Linked DNA regions of Astyanax mexicanus. The protein of the gene in region 1 binds, or shares a complex with, the protein of each later gene. Links are inferred from orthologs where the notes say so. Each region holds a gene or a part of one and is shown in the gene's direction. Other genes may lie near its edges.

The links.
Region 2: the proteins of ralgapa2 (region 1) and nkiras1 are in contact, whole or in part, in a crystal structure (PDB 9QU1), measured with the Homo sapiens proteins. The link is inferred for Astyanax mexicanus from reciprocal best matches to the Homo sapiens genes RALGAPA2 and NKIRAS1. Residues at the interface, in NP_065076.2 of Homo sapiens: Pro20, Lys21, Tyr51, Ser52, Gln53, Phe56, Tyr59, Glu60, Ile63, Arg99, Phe102, Arg103, Trp104, His105, Tyr106, Gln107, Ser108, Lys185, Ile186, Tyr187, Pro188, Glu189; in NP_001364280.1 of Homo sapiens: Lys6, Glu22, Leu24, Leu25, Tyr26, Glu34, Met39, Glu40, Asp41, Val42, Tyr43, Met44, Ala45, Ser46, Val47, Glu48, Lys54, Gln56, His58, Tyr60, His74, Tyr75, Ser77, Phe78, Lys108, Thr162.

What each region holds. Positions count from the first base shown.
Region 1 is NC_064421.1:20,844,897-20,852,689, reverse strand, and holds the start of ralgapa2 (ral GTPase-activating protein subunit alpha-2), read left to right. Parts: upstream 1-4,485; 5' UTR 4,486-4,633; coding exon 4,634-4,739; intron 4,740-7,793.
Region 2 is NC_064410.1:354,570-362,352, reverse strand, and holds the start of nkiras1 (NF-kappa-B inhibitor-interacting Ras-like protein 1), read left to right. Parts: upstream 1-4,716; 5' UTR 4,717-4,879; intron 4,880-5,421; 5' UTR 5,422-5,444; coding exon 5,445-5,538; intron 5,539-6,512; coding exon 6,513-6,754; intron 6,755-7,560; coding exon 7,561-7,783. Other genes in the region: rpl15 (60S ribosomal protein L15), read right to left, coding at 656-961, 1,406-1,542, 2,332-2,503. UniProt on the Homo sapiens protein: Atypical Ras-like protein that acts as a potent regulator of NF-kappa-B activity by preventing the degradation of NF-kappa-B inhibitor beta (NFKBIB) by most signals, explaining why NFKBIB is more resistant to degradation.

The sequences.
Region 1 (7,793 bases):
CTCACCATGTACAGCGCATGACATCATCAAAAGATTCAAAGAAACCCTTTTTTATTAATATCACTCGCCACTTTTTTAGCCTTTTGTTGCCCTGTCCCAAGTTTTTAAAGCTATGTTGCTGACAACAACTTCTAAATGTGTTAAAAAAAATTGTTATGGAAATGTGTTCTATGTTTTATTGTTAATAAAATAGGGCTCTATGCTATTTTAAATCATTGCATTTTTTTTTTTTTTACATTTTCCACAGCATCACAACTTTTGTGTATTAGAGGTCATAAGTGGAAACATTTATATACCAATTATACAAATATTTTGTGCTAATAGATTGTGCAATGTGTACAAATCCTGCCCTTAAAAACTACTCTAGGAAATAAAGAAGCAATTCATTTCTGTCAATATATGGCTTATTTCATAGCTTATTTCATATGCTCGTGGATTAGAAGATAAGCTCAAGTGAATTCAGTAAACATTAATTCACATGAAGTCAAGGAAATCCAGAATGGCATTTCAGTCTTATCACATTGAATTCAATCACCCGGCTAAGTCTTAAGCAGCCGTCTTCTTTCAGACATTTTATCCGCCGCTCTTCTTCACAGTGTTAATCATCTGCAAAATCAATTAAAATCTGAAGCAAGCTGAACTTGTGTTAATGCAGCGAGACCTTCAGTTCACTCACGCTGCAGGAGGCCTGTTTGCCATCAAATTATATTTCTTTATTAGGCAGTAAAAGCTTCCAGCCGGCAGCTCCAGTGAAAGACAGGAGGCAGCGCTTGCCAAGGAGAGAGAAAGCTCTGGGCTGACCCTGCGCCCTTCAACTGTGCCCATCCAGAGCCAACACAGAGGGGTGCAGACCCAGAGTCAGGGTAAATATGTCTCTGCATATGTCCAGGACAGATTTTGTGTGTGTGTGTGTGTGTGCTTAATGAAATCATTTCTGCAGTCTGTGGTATGGTATTAGACAGGGGAATCTAGGCATTTTAGAGTCATATTGTCCTGTATGAGATGACTGCAGCAAATAAAGCATGAGGTCATTGTTATACTGGCCACCAGATGGCGCCCTGGACTACTATACTAGACCTTTCACATTTTTTAATTAGAACACATGAAATTAAATGATACCTAGATTGGAAGACTATTTTAAGTCTATGTTTAAATAAAAGATTTTAACCCCTTAACAGGCCAGGATTCTTTTTAATTGTCTACCTGACAACCACTAAATGTTGAGGATTCTATTCAAGAATTACATAAAAAGTTCTCGTGTTTGAAAAGGAAAATTACAGGAAAGCATAATTGTAATAGAAAAATATAATAACATCTTTAAGTAAATCTGCTAATGTCAAAATATAATAAATACATAAAATTAATTCTATTGATTCATAAAATTGGCTCTTTCCTGGACTTCATTTTAAGATCAATATTTTCCTGAATACAAATCAAACGGTTTATGTCCTCCAAACCTTTAGTTTTGTTATCTTTGTCTAGTCTTTTTTCAAACCTGCAGAATTTGGGTTGATTTCTGTTACTGATCTGGAATTATTAAGTGGAGTAGAGAGAATACAGGGAGCTTCTCCAAGTTGTGCAATGTTTCAGAATGTAAATAAGTTATTCTACTGCAGAAGAAAGGGTTTTGTATCACCTAGACCTGTAGCCTGTATACGGGACAAGACATTTTATGGGGTTAACCAAAACTGATATCTAGGCCAAAATAGGAAAAAACTCACCCCACTCCCTATACCCTACAATTAAAGAGACCATATGGAAATAGATAAGCTGGTTATAATTAAAGGTAATACACATTTCAAATTTCAAACCACTGTAATGCTAGTATTTGTCATCTGAGCTTCATCATAGCCAAATAAATGAGCACTTTTGAATCAGGTCAACTATAGAGGCTGTTATTGTCATTCCATTAGGGGTGAGACAATATACCGATATATAATTTTGACTAAAGTTATTGCTTCATTACTTCACATAGTGGCACTATTCAAATGAACAGGGTAAACCTATCGGTTGTCAAATTCTGTGAAACTGACAACAGTAAATATATAATTCCTGGTATTTACTTATTTAGGAGTATATTATCCTCATCGGTAACATAGGTGCCATGAAGTATTGTAGAGAATTGTCACAGTATTGTGAAACCATCTTGATAATATTGTATTATGAGATGACCTGTGATTCCCTCCACTACATTCCATCATCCATCCTTTACAAAACAGACAAATATTATTAGATTTTGTTTCTACTGAATTAAACTAATACTTATTTTGTTGCATTTTAATATGTTCCTGAAATTAACAGAATATTTTATTCATATCATCAAAAATATTGTTAAAATTGTTACAAAATACCCTTGAATATTGTGATATTATTTAAGGCCCATTTTCCCTCCTAGCGCTGGAAAATATATTGATATTTTATCATATTGTAATACAGTTGTTTTTTCCGTATCGAAAATATGCCTACCGAGGATATCATTCCTGCTTTAAGAACACTGAGATGAACTGTACATTTTATTACAGAGTGTGTAAAAAAATCCTGATAAATGAATCGTGTGTAGCAAAAATGTTATGTAAATAATTGTACTGCATACATGAAAGTGTTTGGAGTATTTGAATAGGATTTTTTTTTTTATCTGCCGCACGACAAATACTGTGTAACATAAGATTATATTAGATTAAATACTGTGATATAATATTTTAACATATTGCCCAGCTCTATCAGTGCATGATTATGTACACCAACGCCGGTTTATACTGATTATATCTGTGTTATAATTATTCTGTATTGACTAAGATTAAGGCATAGCTAACGAGCTTATCGTGATAAACATTTTGGACATATCATCCAGCACTATGCCTCATCCTTGTGTTGTGTAGTGTTTGGCTAAGAAAACGGTAAAACTCAACCCAAACTAATGACTCACTCACAGGTGACCTGTATGTAATATTTGTAATTGTCATTTTAGCTCAATTTTTTTTGTCAAATTTATCAGATATGGAATCAATTAATATGGCCAGCTCGACAGTAATTGCAGTGTGTTTTTTTGTAGAAAGAATTAAAAACACCACTATAACTTGTTTTTTGCTTCTTCTAAATGTCTGAAACTGATATTCATTCAGACTAAACACAAGTTTCAGGTTTATTTTGTTTCAGTTGTATGCTCCTGAAATAAATAAAATATTTTAGTGTTTTTTTTTTTTCATACCGTCAATACTATTGTTAAAAAATATATTTCAATACCCTTCAATATTGTGATAATATTTTTAGATATATCATATATTGCCCAGCACTGGTGTTGTGTAGTCTTTGGCTAAGCTAATGGTAGACACCTGCACACAACTTTATTCACAGGTGACAGTTTTTATTTATTTATTTATATTTTTTAAATATTTTTTTGTTTTGCTTTGTTTTGTTCATAATGTCAATAATATCATTAAAATTGTTAAAAAAAAATCCGCTTCAATATCGTGATAATTTTTTAGCCACATATAATGCCCTGCCCTGGTGTTTTGTAGTCTTTGGCTAAGCTACCAGTAAACACCTGCACCCAAACTAATACCTCACTCACACATTTTTTTTATAAATCGAATACTGCTAGATTAACAGTTATAGCAGCTTGTTTTTTTTTTCTTTTGAATGTCTGAAACTGATATTCATTTGGACTAAACACAACTTTCAGGCTTATTTTGTTTAAACAGAATGCTCCTGAAATTAATAAAATATTTTAGTGGGTTTTGTTTTGTTTTTGTTTTGTTTATACCATTCATAATATCATTAAAATTGTTAAAAAAAAAAAACCTTCAATACACTTCAATATCGTGATAGTATTTTAGGCACATATTGTCCTGCCCTGGTGTTGTGTAGTCTTTGGCTAAGATACCGGTAAACACCTGCACCCATACTAATACCTCACTCACAGGTGACAGTTTTTATTTTAATCTTTTGCTCTATATATTTTTTTTATCGATCTTACCGGATGTGGAATGAAGTAACACTGCCAGATTAACAGTATTAGCAGCGTGTTTTTTATTTCTTCTGAATGTCTGAAACTGATATTCATTTACACTAAACACTACTTTCAGTTTTTTTTTTAATAGTATGCTTCTGAAATGAATACAATGTTTAACTTTTTTGTTTTGTTTATACCGTCAATAATATCATTACAATCGTTAAATATATACCCTTCAATATCGTGATAGCCCTGCCCTGGTGTTGTGTAGTCTTTGGATAAGCTACCGGTAAACACCTGCACCCACACTAATACCTCACTCACAGGTGACCGTTTTTTTTTTTTTTTTGCTCTATAATTATTTTATCGATCTTACCAGACGTGGAATGAAGTGACACTGTCAGATAAAGAGTAATAGCAGTGTGTTTTCGTGTGGAAGGAGTTAAAACACGGCTCTGCGTGCTCCGGGGGGCGTATGGAGGGGCGTATCTGTCCAGAGGCAGAGCTGAGTGTGCTTCCGTGTTTACTCCCCCGCGGGCAGAGAGGGGCAGGCGGGCGGCCGCTGGAACACAGTCAGGCGCTTAGCGACCGGGAGAGCAGCGGCTCGAGGACACCGACTGGATGGTAGAGAGGAGGTAGAGAGGAGGTAGAGCGGGCTTCAACATTGACTTTTACAGCGGAATGTTCACCCGAAGGGGCTATGGAGACGTCAAGAAATCTACACAGAAAGTTCTGGACCCAAAGAAGGATGTTTTAACCCGCTTGAAGCATCTCCGCTCACTGTTAGGTGAGTCTCGCAGCTCAGCTCTGATGCTGTGTGACACTGTGACAGCACCACTCACCGTGTAGCAGCCTGGCTAACCTAGCTTAGCTTTCACCTAGAGCTAGCTAGGTGTTATGTATGTATTAGCTGTGTGTGTTTGTGGCTAGCTAGCGTTAGCTAAATGCAGTGCAGGTCGTCGTGCCTTTGTTTCCCTGAATGAACATGTCTATTTTTCTTAAAATAAACAGAGAAACCTGAATTGTGTCTGTATTAAGCGATGAAAGGGGCTGCCATTGCATTATGTTTGTTTAGCTTAGTTAGCGTTAGCTAACATAGCTGGCAGACTGGTAATGCTAGCTAACGTTAGAGTCAGGTGTCATTTGGGCTTAATTGTTCAGCTGTGGCTAACGCTAACTATAGCTTGTGTTCTTTCTGCCTTAGCCGGTTAGCTAGCTAGCTTGCTAGCTGTAGCTATAGGTTAGCTGGGGTAGCTAGCCTCCGAGAGTCTTTAGGCAGCAAAATAAGCCGACTAATTAACTAGCTTAATTTTCTACCTGCCTATTGTGTCTAGTTCTTAAAATAGCCACCACTATTTTACACTCGGCTGTTAACGCTAGCTAACGTTGGCTAGCTTCACTCTAGCTACTGGCTCTATTCTTTGCTTGACAGCAGCTGCAGTAGCATTGTGTGACTATCCTCATATCACCCTTAGAAAATATGGTTATGGATTTTGCACGTTTCTTGCCTGGTCGTTTAAACAGTAGTAGCACGCAGTACTGCACATCACTTACACAGCTTTCCTGTCACCCAAAACATCTCCAAAATGTCATGTTTTTTTATTATTTCTAAAACAAATATTTCAATTATTAGCATGGCACAACAGCAGTCTTATTGGATAGTATGTGAGTATATACAGCTCTGGAAAGAAAATAACAGACCACAAAGATTTATGTGTTCCTTTTTTCCTCTGGAATATAATCAAGACGAAGATGGATAATCACAAGCCATCCAACTGCTTAAATGTTTGCACCAGGTGTGGCATAAAATTATCTAAAAGCAGTGTGTAAGACTGGTGGAGGAGAACATGCCAAGATGCACGAAAACTGTGATTAAAAACCAGGGTTATTCCGCCAAATATTGATTTCTGAACTCCTAAAGGTATACGAATAAAAACTTGTTTTCTCTGCATTAAATAAATGCTCTAAAACAATATTTTTATTTGGAATTTGGGAGAAATGTCTGTAGTTTATAGAATAAAACAACAATGTTTATTTTACTCAAACATATATCTATAAATAGAAAATTCAGAGAAACAGATTCAGAAACTGAAGTGATCTCTTATTTTTTATTTAAGAGCTGTATACGTATGTGTGTGTGTATATATGATAGTAGCTGCAGCATTGACAGAAACTGCAGAATTGTGTGGCTATTCTTATGTCACCCTAAAAAATATAAATTATGTAGCTAGTTATATTAGTTTTGTACGTTTCTTGCCTGGTTTAAGGTGTTTTTACACACTCAAACAGTAGCACACGGTACTGCACATCACTTATAACTATAGTTATATAGTTATATTGTTCTTTTTAACCAAAACATTGCAAACATTTTCAAGTTTTTACAGGAGAACAAGGAAACATTATCTTTCAATGGAAGTCAGTGTTAAAATAATTGATTCCATTTTAAAATACAACATTACTGGCCCTCGGTTGTATGTATAAAGCGAAAACATTCTAGACCAAGTTGATCTAGAAATAGATCCTCTTTCGTTTTGGGCATTCAAAGGGAAACACTGAAAAATAAAAAGGATAAAAGATTGTATAGAATTCTCACTTATGAGGCAAAAAATAATATCTTATTGTGACTTGTATGCTATATTCATCAACAGATTTATTATTAATCGAATTTGGTCACACTATCTTCAGTTTGTCAATAGTTGGGATTGCAAACAGATAAATCTACTATGAGATTTGTTAACAGATTTTGTTTGTGTAACATCGCTAATGTTTTGTGGTTTATATCACTTTTGAATGTGAGCTTGTTTGTTACTAGTTTGTTTGGTGATGCCATAAAAAGTCCAAGCCATTTTAAAGCGTATCTGTTGGTCCATTTATATGATTTAAATTGGACACAGTGTTAAAAAAAACAACTGTCACAATCAAATTAGTTATGTCACAAAGTGAGTAAAAAGGTTGTTGCTTGTTGAAAGTGATAATATAAAGTATGTAGCCTGTAGAAGGTGTTTATAAGGTGTCAGAAGTTCACAGTAGTGTGTGTGTGTGCTCTTGGATAGCCCAGAATTATATTTGGTTAGCTACAGTGCTCAAGTTACTCACAGCTACAGAGACTTCCTGTGCCAGTGTCCTGATGAGACATCTGACCAGCAGCAGACCAATATAGGGCTGTTGTTGACAAGCAAATCAGATTTGCCTCTTATTTATCACTTACACATGTTTGAGTCCCAGCTAACTGTAGCTGGTTTTGGCTAGTGTCAGCCTGGGCAGTTTACATGGAAAGCAGATCAGAAATGTTTGTTTTTATGTTAGTTATGTGATCTTTAGGCTTGGGCCTATGTGTGTTACTTTTTTAAGCATCGTTCTAAAACTAGTGTGACCTGCATTAGACTGCACAGCAGTGCTTTCACCAGCATAGGTTTCCCAGATTATCTATGATGAATGTTGCAAAGCTTGACTACTGACCTACCTGTCATTTTGAGCAGAAGTTGTGGCATAACCTTAACCTTAAATGACGTCTGTTTTCCAGAAGGCTTTGAAAGACTGCAAAGCTCAGCATGCATATCTCAGTGTCTTGAACCTTGCTGTCAAACATAATTGAGGTTTGATACTTTCACATCCAGAGTATTAACTGTTTGTGAATACAGAGAAAACATATTGTTCTTATGTGTTGTTGTTTTTTTTTTGAAAGTTTCTTTCACTGTTGGAGACTTCTTCAGGAAGTCAGCTGTACTGAACTCTCGTGTGCTGTTGATTGTTAAAAATTACTGTTCACCTTCACTGACAGTTTATTCTATGGATGCACAATGATTTTGGAATCACATCGGTGTCAGCAGATATTGATGTC
Region 2 (7,783 bases), on another chromosome or scaffold:
TGTTTTATATCATATTTTATTAAAAAGATGTCTTTTCTTTTCCCCAGTCCCTTCTCTATGTATTGGCTTTTTACTACATATTGAGCAAGGGCCACCTACAATGGAGCATCTTTTGCTGGAGTGGAGAGTAAACAGCTGCTCTGGAGTTCATGCTCAGCTCCAGGAGGTGAAAAAAGGACAGGCGGTTTGCTTTTGCTGTTTTTTTGCAGCTATAACTGCACAGCTGCACCGAGAGATACAGTGTGGGTCAAGAGAGATGCACGTAGTGATCATGCTAATGACTAAAATCAAAAAGACGCTTGAATTCCCAATGATTTGACCGTTCACATTCATGTCACATGGATCGGATACGAATCCAAATTAAGACCACATACGAAAAAATGAAAGTGACTCAAATCTGATTCAGGAAAAACGGATTTGGCACAGTCACACAGCTATGAAAAAAAAATCAGATCTGAAATCTGATCCGATTTGAGTCACTCCAGCCCGGTAATGTGAACGCAGCCTAAGGTTTAGTTTCAGAACCATAAATTTAACTAAATGTAAATACCCCTAAAAGAACCCGTTAATACACATCAATAAGTCACAGCAGGCAGCACGTGGACCATAAAAAGGTTCTTTATTGTGATGAATGTACAGCAGCAGATCACACTCTTTAGCGGTAGCGGTGCAGCTGCAGGGTGTTGCGTCTCCTCCAGGCGGCGCGGCGAGAGCCGCCGATGGTAAGGTGGAACTTGTGGCCCTTGCCCAGGCCGCGGCTCTTCTTGCCGGCGGACGTGAGGCCGCGCATTTCCCTGTGCTTGTGCACGGCCTTCGTGATCCACTGGGTGTCGGGGTTGCGTCTGATGGCCTTGTGGAAAGTGTCGATAAGGATCACCTCGAAGAACTTGTACGTGGAGTCTTCTCCCACCCAGTAAGAGCTCAGCACACGGAGACCCCCGCAGTGACGGCCGGCACGCTCCTGAAACACGGCAGAGAGAGAGAGAGAGAGAGGAGCTTCAGAAACGATCCAGAATTACCAACACCAGCCTCAACCAGGAGCCGGTATCATTTTAATGTCCTCAATACTGATACAATACTTTAAATTCAATACAAATACTTAAACAATACTTTTATACATTTTATTCTAAACTACCAAAAAATACAAAAAGTGATATTCACAGTGCATTTATTTAACAATGGACATGAGTAATCACATTTTGTTTGTGGTGCTTTATTAAAAATAAAAAAAAAGCAGCAATATTTTAAAGCATATATATTTGTTCCTAAGCATACAGCTGGTTTTTAGTTCTTATTAAGAAATATAAATCTAAAATGCTCACTCTTTCCTGACTTTCACCTGCTGTACAGAAGTTTATATTAAAAAATCTTTAATATAAACTTCCGCTAGAGATCATTTACATACCTCAGCAATGGACTGGAGGCTGCGAGCGAATTTGATCTGGTTGACTCCGTGGTGTACGGGCTTTCCGTAGGTGGCACCTTTGGGCACGGGGCGCTTACGGCCACCACGGCGCACGCGCACACGGTAGATAACGTAACCTGCAGAAAACAAATTCAAGATATCAGAGATCCAGATCCAAACAGCACAGATTATACAGAGAAGACAAGCTGGAGAACACTCACCAACACTAAACAGAGATTAAATAAAGAAAGTTCACACTGCAGCCGAGAACATCGCTTCACACAGCCTGAACTAGCTTCTAATTTACACACAGGACGCTGCAGACGAGTTCTAGCTTACAATCATAGTGTGACCTGTGACGTTGCTATATTGTGTTTGACAATTTTGTTTAATATAAAAAATAGCTTAAAAAGGTTGCAAATATGCGAGATGAACATTTTCAGTAGTAACCAGAAGTAATTTCACCTTGAAAAAATGCTATTTTTCCTAGATCTACAAACTTTATTACAGGTCAAACTCACCCAGAACAGAACAGGAGGGTTTACAGTTTACAGATTTTGTAGTGAGTGTTGTACAATACAGATTTAATACAGTCTTTAATACATTGGGAAGCTACATGCTTTCAATCATGATAACCAGAAAACTAGCACTGTCCACACACTGTCCTCATGAAGCTGGATGCAGCACAAACTAAACTGCAGATGAATCACTCAGCTTTAATTCAGAGAGAACAGACAGCAAGTCATTAAGAAGTAGATTTGTGTAAAACCATAAGCTAATGTAAATCTGTGCCAGATTAAAAAGTTAAGGTGCCAAAATTGCAAATCAGTAAAAAAAAAAAAAAAAGAGATGAGTTCAGTAAGGGAAATCACAGCAAAACGTGAGTTTAATTTAAATGTAATTCAGCACGAGCGTCCGGGACTCACCCTGCTTGGCCTTGTACCCCAGTCTGCGGGCTTTGTCGGCTCTGGTGGGTCGGGGAGCGCGGTGGAGGGAGGAGAGCTGGCGGTACTGCCAGCAGCGAACGCGGAGCAAAAAACGCATCACGTCCGACTGCTTCTTCCTCCACAGCTCCTGCATATACTTGTACGCGCCCATGTTGCCTCACCTGTAGCACACACACAACAGTTCATGAACAGGTTAGAGCAATGGTACCATTTAAAGAGTGATGCACAAGTTAATTATTTTTCCTTTACATTTCATTAACAAATATTAAGCAGCCCCCTTCAACCCTAAATGCAGGTTTTACATTAAACAAAGTATTTGTTGTAATTAATACCACAAGTCCTTTACAGGTTTCTCACAGAAGCACAAGCCCATCTACAGAGATTTACTTGATTGTCCCTTTTCGCAAATCGCATTAGAACAATACATTTGTTTAATCAAATTAATTAAATGAACATCCCAATCCTGTTTTTCAAATGAGAGTCAATGTAAACATGTTTAATTCCATAACAAATCAATTTACAGGATTTTAAGAATGATTGAAAGTAACTCATTTTAGAGAAACAAGAACACACTAAACACTCAACACTTTAATATGCGGTTTCTATTAGTTGAGTTTTTGTAGTGGAACCACAGTACACAGTAACATTAATTCATTACATCATTAAGTATTAAGCATTATTTAGGGGTGACAGCTTTCTGCCAAGTTAGTTTACTAACTAGGAAGCTTCTTATTTGTACTAGAGAATTAATAAGACTCGTGTTAGAATAGACAGCTCTTAGATCATTAAAATATAGTATATATTTATGATTATTAAGCTTTGTCAATGCCTAGGGGGAACACATACTGATTTACATCGCTGAACGTTAACTAGATGTAAGAGAGGTTAGTGTAGCTCATATCTGTCAGCTTATTCTTAAGAAAAATGATAGTAAATTATTCGTGTAAATAAATAAAGCTGCATTAGAAACCTGCAGGCAGAGACACACAGACACCATGCGAACCGTCCAACATGCAGCTCAGCCAGGCTAGCTAACGTTAGCGCTAACTAAAAAGGTTAACACAGTAATAAAACTCCTAATAAATAAAAATACACAAATCTTTAAACTGATACAGAGGCCTGTTTTAACTTATAAAGCCTCCATTTCCCACGTTAACCCTCTATATACAGCTATATGTATAAATACACACACAGACCGGCTCCAGCCTGCCCTACACTCTCACACACTGAACACAGCGCCGCCGCTACCCGCTAAAATCCGCCTCAAAAACACACAAATCTCCCCTAAATCAACTAAATAACGACCCGCAGCGCATCCCTACACTCTCCGCTCTCACTACACAAATTATAACCCCCGGATGGCCGGATTCTGAGGGTGATTTTAAACAGATTTCATCTCCACCAAAACAGAAAATCTCCCTTACTTGATGGCGTACTAAGCGGAAAGGAAGAGCCAAGGACCCGGATCTCTTTATCAAAACGTCACAGCAGTGTTTCCGGCGGCGAAGTGCGCTACAATTGTGGGAAATGTAGTTCAAACAGGGCAACTTTATAAAATAAGGATAATAAATTAAGATATGCTATAAAATAATAATAATAATAATAATAATAATAATAATAATAATAATAATAATCCTACAAAAGTCCTTTACATTTAGTAAAGTAGAAACACAAGGACTTTTATAATTTATGTTAAAGGTTTGACGTTTTAGTTTGACAAGATTTCAAACATTTTTATCTCAAACAAAATTGATATATATGGTAAATAAAAATATTGTTTATTTGTACTTGTTGTAAATGTAAATGTTTGAAAATGAAGGACTAAAATATTATAAGTATATGTAAAATACAATAATACATGCATTTGACAATTCTGCAATACATCTACAATGATGTTGTGTGTAAAATGAAGAACTACACGCTCATATGCATTTATTTTCCATGTTTTAAGAAAATGTATTTTTAAATGAGTTTTAATTTAAAATGAGTCATAATTCTGAAATGAAATATCACTCTGAGCTTCTGACAGAGCTGCCAGTTTAGAATGCAGTATAACTGTATAGAGTTACTGTATACATATATTATATAGACGTGTACACAGGGTTTGGTTTCAACTTGATATTCCATATTCTATATTTATGTCTTAATTTTGGTATAATGTGGATATATACTTGGGTCTATATTTGTGTCTATTCAGAGGTGTATATATTAGAGCTATATATTAAGGTCTATATATTAGTGTATATATTAGTATGTGTGTTTGTGTGTTTGTATGTGTTTCTCTCTGCAGGTAAGAAGAGGAACAGAAGCGAGGCGGAAGCTGGAAACTGGAAACTGGTTTCCATAGTAACGCGGCTGCACCCGGAAGTGAACTGACCGCAGGTAAAAGCCCTGTTTATGAGGGTTTATAAAACAGGATCAGCACAGTGACCCTCCCGCTTATTAATAAATATAACTATATAACTATAAATATATCTATAACTATAACTAAAGGATTAATCAGGTAACCGCTGATCTCTGAGAGAAGGTGAGGCTGATTTTATTTATTAGATCAGTTTTTATTAAACCCCGCTTTTAGCTGTAGTTTAGGTTAGCTCGAGCTCTCTGTGTTACACCAGTTTAGCTTTAGCTGCATAAAATTATAGTGTTCTCATTTTAAATAGTGTTTTGTTGTGATATCATTACTGTAAGGTTAATGTGTTTAATGAAAGTGATTAATGGTAAAATAATTATAATTGTTGATGATAATTTATCAAATTTATTATATAATACATAATACAATATTTTTTATTATATATTATAATAATCATAATGATTCTTTTTTAAGCAGTGTAAATATTGTTTATGTGTATGTGTTATGTGTGTTTGTTATGATTGTTGTTGTTAATTGTTATTATGCTTTGACAGCAATATACCCTCACACAGTCCTGATAATAAAGATACATTAAGTTGAATTGAATTGAAATTAATAGAATTAAATTGAGTAAAATCTGAGTATCTGCTGCAGCTGTATGATTCGATAGTTTTCTTTTCTTTAATTCTATTCTGTTCTCTATTCATTAATTGCAGGTGTTTTTGAGGAGCAGCTGATTATGGGAAAAGGCTGTAAGGTTGTGGTTTGTGGTTTTGCCTCTGTTGGTAAAACAGCGATTCTTGAACAGTTACTGTACGGAAACCACAGTGTGGGTTAGTCCTTCATTTTCCACATCTTTCTACTAAAACTACGTCTAGTATAAATTAGTATAAATTGCAGCCTATTATTGAGCTGGTTGCTTTTTCATGCCTGTTGGGCTGTCCTGACAAACTTCCCCACCAAGTACGTCTTTATAAACTGTAGGAAAATGACTGAAGTGTAACTTAAATATGTAAGGTAGATGCAGGGAGCCCAAACATCAGGTTTGTTTCTGTTATTTCAAACAGTAAAATGTGGAAATGCAGCGATTGTGCTTGAAACTACTTTTAAAAGGTCATCTAATGTTAATGTTAATCAACTTTTAAAGACAGAGCTCTTCAAAGAGCACTTACTCTCCTAACACCTCTAACATACTAACTACTCTACACTTATTTCCCTCTTCCCTTTATTTCCTCCTTATTTCCCTCTGACCTCCTTTAGGCCCTGTCTAAAAATGTTTTTACCTTAAATGTCTACTACTCTGTACATCATTATTGGACAAAAGCGTCTGCCACATGTAATGTAATGTAATGTTATGTAATGTAATGTAATGTTATCTTATGCCTTCTAGAAATTAGGTCATACATTTGTTTTTTCTGACTTTTTCTAGTTAGAATTATCGATATCTTACCGAGAAGTAAGATATCTGTAACTAAGAATGATTTTACAGATCTGTAGATGTTAATCATAATATTTTGAGTGGACAGAAACACTGTGTACACTGTGAATTTGATCCAGAAATAAGGAACAGTTCTGGAATAGCTGGAATTACAATTTGTACTAGTTAATAAGAATAAAAATCCTTCAGTCTTTGTTGTTCACAGTTGCTGAACACTATAACATATCTCTCCTGATTTTGTGTCTATTGTGTGAATTTACTTTCTCCAGCGTGCAGAAATACAGAGTATTTGACTCAGTTCTGATCGATTGTATTGAATAAACTGCATTTATCACATGACTCTGTATAAAGTGTTTTTCTGTGGTTCAGGAGCAGAACTGAATGAAACTCAGGAGGATATTTATGTTGCGTCTGTGGAGACGGATCGTGGAGTGAGAGAGCAGTTACGGTTATATGACACCAGAGGGCTTAGAGACGGACAAGATCTTCCTAAACACTATTTCTCTGTGGCGGATGGATTTGTGCTGGTCTACAGCGTCGACAGCCTGGAGTCCTTCAAGAAAGTCGACCTGCTGAAGAAAGAAATCGACAAATCCAGAGACAAGAAAGAGGTAAAGAGACGGACGACAGTGAAGACATTCGTAACTATTTTATATAGGGCAAAATCCATAACAACACAGTATATTTCTGCACAGTATATGTTTTCTGATTCAGGTTTTCTTAGGAAAGTCAAATATATTGACTGGTTATTATTTGGGGATGCTTTAAAAGGTTTTTTTATGTTTTTTACACGAATGATTATGCTCTCAATATATACAGCTCTGTAAAAAATGAAGAGAGCACGTCAGTTTCTGAATCAGTTTCTCTGATTTTGCTATTTATAGGTTTATGTTTGAGTAAAATGAACATTGTTGTTTTATTCTATAAACTACAGACAACATTTCTCCCAAATTACAAATAAAAATATTCTCATTTAGAGCATTTATTTACAGAAAATGAGAAATGACTGAAATAACAAAAAAAGATGCAGAGCTTTCAGACCTCAAATAATACAAAGAAAACAAGTTCATATTCATAAAGTTTTAAGAGTTCAGAAATAATCAATATTTGGTGGAATAACCCTGGTGGTTTTTAATCACAGTTTTAATTTCATGCATCTTGTCATCATGTTCTCCTCCACCAGTCTTACACACTGCTTTTGGATAACTTTATGCTGCTTTACTCCTGGTGTAAAAATTCAAGCAGTTCAGTTTGGTGGTTTGATGGCTTGTGATCATCCATCTTCCTCTTGATTATATTCCAGAGGTTTTATATTTGGTAAAATTAAAGAAACTCATCATTTTTAAGTGCTCTGATCTGTATTTATACACTGTACCCTCTGTGTATATATATATATGTATATATCTGTCTCCTGTAGGTGATGGTGATCGTTCTGGGTAATAAGGCTGATCTGCGGGAGCGTCGGCAGGTGGAGCAGGAGGTGGCTCAGCAGTGGGCTCGTGGGGAGAAGGTGAAGCTGTGGGAGGTGAGCGTTACGGAGCGCAGCTCCCTCATCGAGCCGTTCACCACGCTCACCAGCCGCCTCACCCAGCCCCAGAGCAAATCCGCCTTCCCCCTGCCCGGCCGCAAGAGCAAGGGAA